Caenorhabditis elegans: one gene and its partner. The protein of the gene in region 2 interacts with the protein of the main gene of each other region in a biochemical or structural test. Each region holds a gene or a part of one and is shown on either strand. Other genes may lie near its edges.

What was found.
Region 1: the proteins of nlp-58 (region 2) and tkr-2 interact in a test that uses a peptide from one of them, tested with the Caenorhabditis elegans proteins (one large-scale study listed by BioGRID).

The regions. Positions count from the first base shown.
Region 1 is NC_003282.8:6,200,158-6,204,087, reverse strand, and holds the start of tkr-2 (G-protein coupled receptors family 1 profile domain-containing protein), read right to left. Parts: upstream 2,020-3,930; 5' UTR 2,009-2,019; coding exon 1,946-2,008; intron 1,943-1,945; exon of another isoform or gene 1,922-1,942; intron 1,821-1,921; exon of another isoform or gene 1,800-1,820; intron 1,433-1,799; exon of another isoform or gene 1,412-1,432; intron 1,008-1,411; coding exon 820-1,007; intron 744-819; exon of another isoform or gene 723-743; intron 671-722; coding exon 539-670; intron 521-538; exon of another isoform or gene 500-520; intron 56-499; coding exon 1-55.
Region 2 is NC_003283.11:9,946,900-9,950,829, forward strand, and holds the start of nlp-58 (Neuropeptide-Like Protein), read right to left. Parts: upstream 2,042-3,930; 5' UTR 1,987-2,041; coding exon 1,900-1,986; intron 1-1,899.

The DNA of each region.
Region 1 (3,930 bases), on a different chromosome or scaffold from region 2:
ACAAATCGGAGTTATTCCCATCAAATTGTTTATTCGACAGTAAAAGCTTCCGAATCTAAATATAATTGCAGAATTATAAGTTTTTTAGAGATATTTTTAAATGCTCCGTGTTTTATTCGTTTCTTACAGTTAGCATTAAATCAAAACCTTTTGTTCTAAAATCAATGAGCTCCCAACGAGAAGCCTACATAGCTCATTTGTTCCAATTTCGTTTTTATTTCAAAAGTTATGAACCTTAATTCCACGTCACAATTATTCCGAAAATAATGCTCAAAATTAAACAATACTGGCAGGATTACTGTAGGAGTGTGGCATGTCAGAGAAATCACACATAAATATTCTCAAACTTTCTTCATACGTTATTAGAAATTCTATTAGAAACTGACCATAAAAATTGATTAATCACTTTTAATAGAACAACTTTTTTAGAAACTTCTCAACAACAAAAAAAGTATGTTTCAACGCTACAACTTCAGTTCAACTTTTAGCACGAAGCCAATTTCGTTTCGTTATTCTCTTCTACATTAAAACAACTCACTTCCAAACATAATAATAATTATAAGACCATGAGAATCCCGTGTTGAACACTGAAATCGAGGCATCCGCCACTGCCAAGTTGAACAGATAGTAATTTGTGACGCTTCGCATTTGACGGTGGTACAGGATTATCCTGAGAATTAATTTTAAATCTTTAAAAATTTTTTGAGCAAAAAAAGCGAATATTTCCTAAGTTTAGGTATCCAGTGTCATCACAAGTAATCGTGGAACTTATTAACATGTTGAAACAGACTTTGTCATTTTTCACTTTATTTCACTTACCACATCACTGTAAAATTGCCCATTAACGCCAGAAATATTGTTAGTGTGAACAGGATTCCATAGAAAATCTGTGAAACAATTGGATGAACGAACGGAGTTGGTTCAAATATGAAGTATACTCCGTGTGTTTGATACATTTGATCGTAAAACGATTGGAATGTACAGTTGATCAGTGAACCGTTTAGAACCTGAAATATTGATTAGTTCAGATTTCTAATGAAGCTTATAAGCTGCTCTCAATATAAAATGCCTGCCTTCAAGGCGGCTTACTCATGATTCTTCAAGGCGGCTTACTAAAGTAATTGTTAATATTTTTACAGTTTTACTGAAATGCGGCTGTGAGGGCTCAAGACACCACATTTCGCCATAAAAAGCAAAACGTATGCACCTAGACAGGCATAAGGTAGGTAGGTATACCTTGGAAGTCCTAGGCAATATTAATTTTAAAACAATTTATATTCGTCTGTTGCAGAGTTTTAATTTAATGTGTTAGTTCTCATTATTAGCTGTTCCATCATAAAAACTACAGTTGACAAAATATATTTTCTGTTTCAAAACACTTATAATTATAAATTGATCATCCTGAATCTAATCCCTGATAATTTCCAGGTGCTCCTGATAATTCACAAATTTACTACAAAACGTTTATTTTGAATTTGTGGTGAGTAAGCACAAAAGAACACGGAAATTGGGAAATTGAGTACATTTGAAGTTTTTTGGAATTACAAAAGATAGCAAAAATCTATGTGAAGGAACAACAAAATGGATTATTATAGTGGATTCAAAATTATTTTCTTAAAACTGAAAAGTCTAGATTTCTTATAGGTATGATATAAAGGTAGAAAATCTAAAAGTTTTTGAGAAACTTTTTTTTTTACAATTAAGTTACCTCCCTTAAAATACCAACTAGTACCCAACTAGTAAAAAAATAATATCGGTTCCTCTATTGGCATGAAAATTGTCACATGTCCACACAATACTCTAGAGGTATTTGAGATATGGTTTTTTAAAAATTTCTAATTAACTTAAAAACTCGAATATTTTTCTCAAATTTTCACTGTTTCATTTTCTCGTAAAACTAATTCTCGCTTTGCTGTTTCATTAACAGCCTTCCCTTAAAACTCACTTTATCGGCAGCTAATCGCAGATCCATTTCGTCTAAACTGGGTGGTAGGGGACACGTTGTCATTCTGAAACTTGTAGAATATTTGAAACAGAAATTATTTTTCAAAAGAAGGGAAAGAAAAGGGCATGAGTAATTGTAGTTTTCGAGAGAATGAGACAATGTGTAAGATGAATTAATCAGTCACCATTTCACAGAATTCGCACAAAAAACTTCAGGTGAGAAGTAAACCTCGGTTTTTGAATTCACCTGTTTCACTCTGGCCTTTTCAAAACTCTGATAAATTAGAGAGGAAGGAAAAAAAGTTCAGCTACCTAAAAATTATTCATACAAAAAATGTTCAGTGTGAAAAAACTCAAATTTAAAATAATTTTTTAAAACAATCTTGTTGTTGTTTTTCAAATGCATAAGCCGCTTAAACACAAAGAACAAATTTTATCAATGTCCTGACTCAGATTTATATCAGCTGATAGATAAAATAGGAGGGGAAATACAAAAAATGAAGGATTGCTTGGTTAGAAGAACAAAATTGGCTTGTTGAATATAAGATTAAAACAAGGAAATTTTAAGTTGAAATGTTGAAACTGTGAATAATTTTGACTTTTTTGTTGTTGAAAAATTCGAGAGATTTTCAGGAGTGTAAGGAAATGAAACTTTACTAACAAATAAATAATGTAAATATATAATTGGCGCATCGACTTTTTGAATTGAATTTTTGAAACTGTGAATAATACGCACCACCTATTGGTTGAACACACAAGGGATGAAACATACATTGTAAAATCAGGTACTTTTTTTTATTCTCGAAACGGCGAATAATTGTATTCAGGATGAATTTAATACAAAAATATAAAAATTTTTTTGAAGCATAGATTTGTCTGAAACAATAAACTTACACCAATGTTGATTTGAAAATAAATCAACCTGGGCTTTGGAAAGATGGGACCTCGCACCTTAAAAACCTTGTGGCCGGTAGGGTGCGAAGCGTACAATAGGCGCCCCGTGTTACGCCTTGAATATTTGATACCTCTAAGAAAAACCTTTAATGTTAAAATTTTTGAAATCTAATGAGAATTCTACTGAGAATGGTATAAAAATCTACTTGTACATATGGTAGATAATCCAGTGTCTTCTCAATTATAATCCAAGCCTATCACGAAAACTTGAAACAGTGAAAAAATTATTTGAATGGCCACATCATTAGGGTATAAAATTGAACCGAGAAACAAAAGAGGTGGAAAATGGAGTAAACGCGTCCAGAAAAAAAAGACGACTGGTCATAGAGCTTGGATATAGAGAGAGGAAAATAGTAATTGGATAAGGCAGGTTGCGGAAACTTTCAGACACAAAATAAAGAGAATGAGCAGTAAAAGGAAAAGGAAGATGTGAGGAGGTTAGTGCTCAGAAACAGGAAGAAAATGGGAAGTGTTTTAGAAGCTCAAATTATTATCGGAAGTCACTGGTCATGGTGGTGGTGGACGGAAATTTTCTAGTATTTAAAACACATACCCGACTCAAAATACAAGAAAATGTTAACTTGTACATAAATTTACCAGAAATCTTTTTTTGTTGCAAAATTCACGTAAACCTTAAAAAATGAATTTTCAGTTGCAAGAAATTCCAGGAGGTTGTGCCTTGTTAGTTTTTGAAATCAGCCCCTCCAAATGTCACGTCACAGAAAAATCACCTGGATTCTGGAGAAATATGAGTTCGGAAATGCAAAAAGAAAAGAATGGAAAGGCCACGCGTGAAATTGGTTTTCCAGATATTCACTTTTTCAGATTAGTTTTATAATTTTGAGAAGTTTTGGAGGGGTACTGTATGATCAATAAAAATAGATATATTTGCACAGTTGTCACAGAAGAAACGGGTTACTTTTAAAGTTTTCTGCCAGTTCAATATGTTTTTTTCGAGTAAACGAATATAGTTTTTTTTTCCAATAAAGTTGTTCACAACAAAACATATTAAAAATCAACCCATTCTGGAAA
Region 2 (3,930 bases):
CGTGCGCTAAAAGTTTACTATTAAAAGTTGGCAAGGAGAAGAAATGCTAAAAACATCACCTCCGAAGTTAATTTTACTTTGAAAATGTTCAAATAAGTTATGTTATCTGATAAATTTCTGATCCGGAAGTAAAAATGAAATCATTTTTATTCTTATTTGTTGCAATAAGGTTCAGAAGAAAACGTAAATAGGAAAACGTTTTTGTCAAATCATATTTTTAGAGTTTTTTTAATAAAAAGAATCAACAAGTAATGAATTACATTGCATGTAATTTTTCATAATATTGAATTCTTGCTGCATTTTTTCAAAAATTTTCAATTTCCTATATTGACGAAGGTTTTTCTAGACCTCCCTCATTCCCGAAAAAGCTCCAAACCGCCCCCAAATCCTAAAGTGCTTCAAAGCAGAAAAACGAAATTTATACATTTCACAATTGGAGCGTAAACCGGGTTGAAGGAAATTTCCGGTTCCGCTTGTGTGCACCTACAAAAGTCAGTAGCACTTTATCTAATTTTTTGGTCCCTCAGGAGAATATCAAGAAGCAAATACAATAAATAGGAGGAGAATGGAAAATCAAATCTTTCAACTTATTGAATATTATTGAAGGTGGTGTCTGGGAGTATGAATTAAAAAAGTTAGACTTTAAGTTATTATAGAGTCATGAATAATTCATAATTTGATGTTTTCAATGCTTGAATGCAAAATTGAAGTTTTGATAGTTTAGGAAAACATGCAATGAACAATGCAATAAACAAATTACAATGCAATTATACTTATATAGTATTGATAATTGAAATTTTAATTAAACTCTCTCTGCAAACTGGTCCTATATTTTATTTATTTTATTTCAAAGAGGTCAGAAATTCAACTGACGAATTGAAAGAAACCCTTCAAAATAATCACGTTTTATGACTAACAGGATGTTTTTTTCAGACATGTAGACCATTAAGATAAAATAAGGAAATGAAGAAAAAGGAAATTAGGGAAACCCGGCAGTGTGAGACCTTTTTAAACAAAAGAACAAAGAATACTGATAATGTTTGTAATATGTGCTTTATGCCTAGGATGTCGATTTAATTGAACTACAAGGATTGGTTTGATTTTCATAATTTGCACTACATATTTACTTTATAGCCATTAGAAAATAAAATTTCATGGTACTCAATTTTCTGAGAAAAAAACGTTTGAATACACCTAACAAATTGACTGAGCCTGTAAAAATCTGACAAATTGAATTGCAGTTTTATTAAATTATTCACTTGTTATTTTCCAGAATCAGAGTTACAGACATTCTCAAAACAAAAAGAAAAGTTTAGTTAACTATTCGAGTTCTAGTATCTCCTAGGAGACTATTAAGTGAAAAGTTATGAATCACGTAATGTGCAAGCTTGCATTTGAGGTTTTAAATTTGATGAGCATTTTTTATTTAAATTTAACATTTTTGTTTTAATTTTTATGTTTCCACTTTTTGAAAAAAGTCAAATTATATATAAGTTGAATCAATTGAATTTCATATTGTAATGAAATAGGAAATATCTTAATTAGTGATATTTTCAATTTACATACTGCAAAATTTGCTATCATTCAGAAATCTATTTTCTAGCGTTTCTTTTGTGATTTTTTCTTTCAATGTTCCATTGATCACTTTTATATGATCTCTAAAAATATTTTAAGTTATTAGACTTTCCTATGACTACATCGTTCAGCCATCGTCCATCATCGCCCGATTCGTTTCGGATTTGATAAATGCTTTTTCATTTTCAATGTACGCACTTTTTTTTCGAGAATATAAGAAAAAATAGAAAAGATTGAGTGTTTGTCGGCAAGTTTTTTTGCGAATGTTACAGTAAATCCCGAAGGACTTCTCAACTTCTAGGCCAAATCATTCAAATAACTTACATCGTCAAAGTGTGTTTCGAATTGTGCTGTGGTGATGTGTACGAACAATAACAGAAGAAGACCCATCACAGAACATTTGGAGATCATGACGGCAGATGAATGGAAGAAGGCGTCGGAGGAAAAGACGACGTCCACAAAAAGTGAGAAGTAGGAGAAGGAGACTCTATTCTTCATCAACATAGCCCCGCCCACTTTCTGCGAGCAGTTTTTTAGGGGCGAGGCTTAAAAAGGCCAGGAAGAACTTGGGATTACTTGAATGAAGGAGGTGAATGAAAGGCTAAAAGGTTTGATATCATAGCATTAATTATCATTTGTTGTTTCCGATGGGCACACTTCCTAATTTGATCTTTATACTGACGTCAAGGAACATACACAACAGTTACCTTCAAAATTTTTATCTAAGATTTAAGAATAATCTTTGTTTTTATAAAATCTCTTATAGTAGAGCTAAGGAAAATGTGTCTGTCAATGCTTTAAAGTGACCATCACAATTTGAAAAAACTAATATAAAAATGTGATAGTAACTTCTTAGTTATTTGAATTAAGATAATTTAATTGATGAGTTCTCTGAAACGGGCGCGCACTCGACAACACATCGCAACACCTCAACGTACAAGAAATTTCTTAACCAAGTTCAGTCAAATTTCGGCGGTTTTTGAAAGTGAATTTTTGGCCATACCCAACTTTAACCAACTTGGCCTTGATAAGTTGATTGAGAAGTTGCGGCAAACCGACGAGCACTTATGGATGGGGCATCCCCGCGAGAAAAACTATATTTATTTTTGTTTTTTTGAATGCCGATGATCTTTTAAATAATAAAATGTTACTTGGAATAAAAATAAAGGAAATTGGCACAATGATGATATAGAAATCCTGAAGAACTTGAACCGAAAAGAGAAAATGAAATATCTATCCTACTAAACTAAGAAATTACAACGATTTCCATGGTTGATAATAAGTAGTCACGCCATCCTGAATAGGTACCTGTCCTCTGCTTACCTGCTTGACTACCTTCGTATTTTCCGTATTTGATTGCGCTTTAGTGCTTTGGCAGTAGGTACTCGTAGGCACGAGGCAGGCACTAGAGTAGTAAGCAGGAAGGCAATGATGTGCCAACCTAAATTTTTTTACCACCGTACACCATTTTCAGACAGGAATTCAAAATTATTTAGTTCTCGTTCTGTTTTCATGGGTTTTATTTCCCTTTTTCGTTTGTTTTTTCTAAGGATTTGAATTTTTCCAATGTGTCTTAGCGAGCACTTAAAATTTTGAGAATGATTTGAGCACAGTGGTTGTTGATTGATTGCTTAATCCTTCGTATTCATTTTATTGTCTATGAATGAAAGTTGGTGTGTTTTCGGAATAGTTGAATTTTAGCTCACCTAGGTTTCATATTTGAAATTTGACATTTTTTGAAAGCTAAACACTGGAACCAGACTAAAAGGTTCAACGACCATAAATCTTTTTGCACTTTTAAAAAGGTATAAATGTTTTCATTTCCTGTCCTCACGTCATCTAGACTGCTGAACAAAAATATTTAGTTATCTTCATTTCTTGAAATTTATTTAAAATCCGGAAATTATTGAAAAGTTTTTTCGGAGACCTTGTAATTTTCAAGATGTTTGACAAATCTTTAGACAATATAAAGTTAGACTCACTTCCCCCGAAACATTAAAATTATGAGCAACTTTTAGAATTGGCTCAATTTTTGTTAATTCAGCAGTCCCAACGAATAACTGAAATTTTATGAGCCGTAATGTTCAGTGTGAAATTTGAAGAATTTATTTTATAAGAATCAAACCCTGCATTTCCATAGACCAATACAGAGAGAATGATATCATTACTAATAACGAAGCCAATAAAATACTGTTCATCTTTTTGAAAATATTTTGTTTTATGTTAAGCACTTTCAGTAATCAAAATTCAGTCTCAAACTATGATAAAACCAAAAACAACACAGCACTGATTGATTTCACTAAATGAATATTTTCAAGGAAAAACGGCAACGACGGAATGTCAAAAGCGGAAATA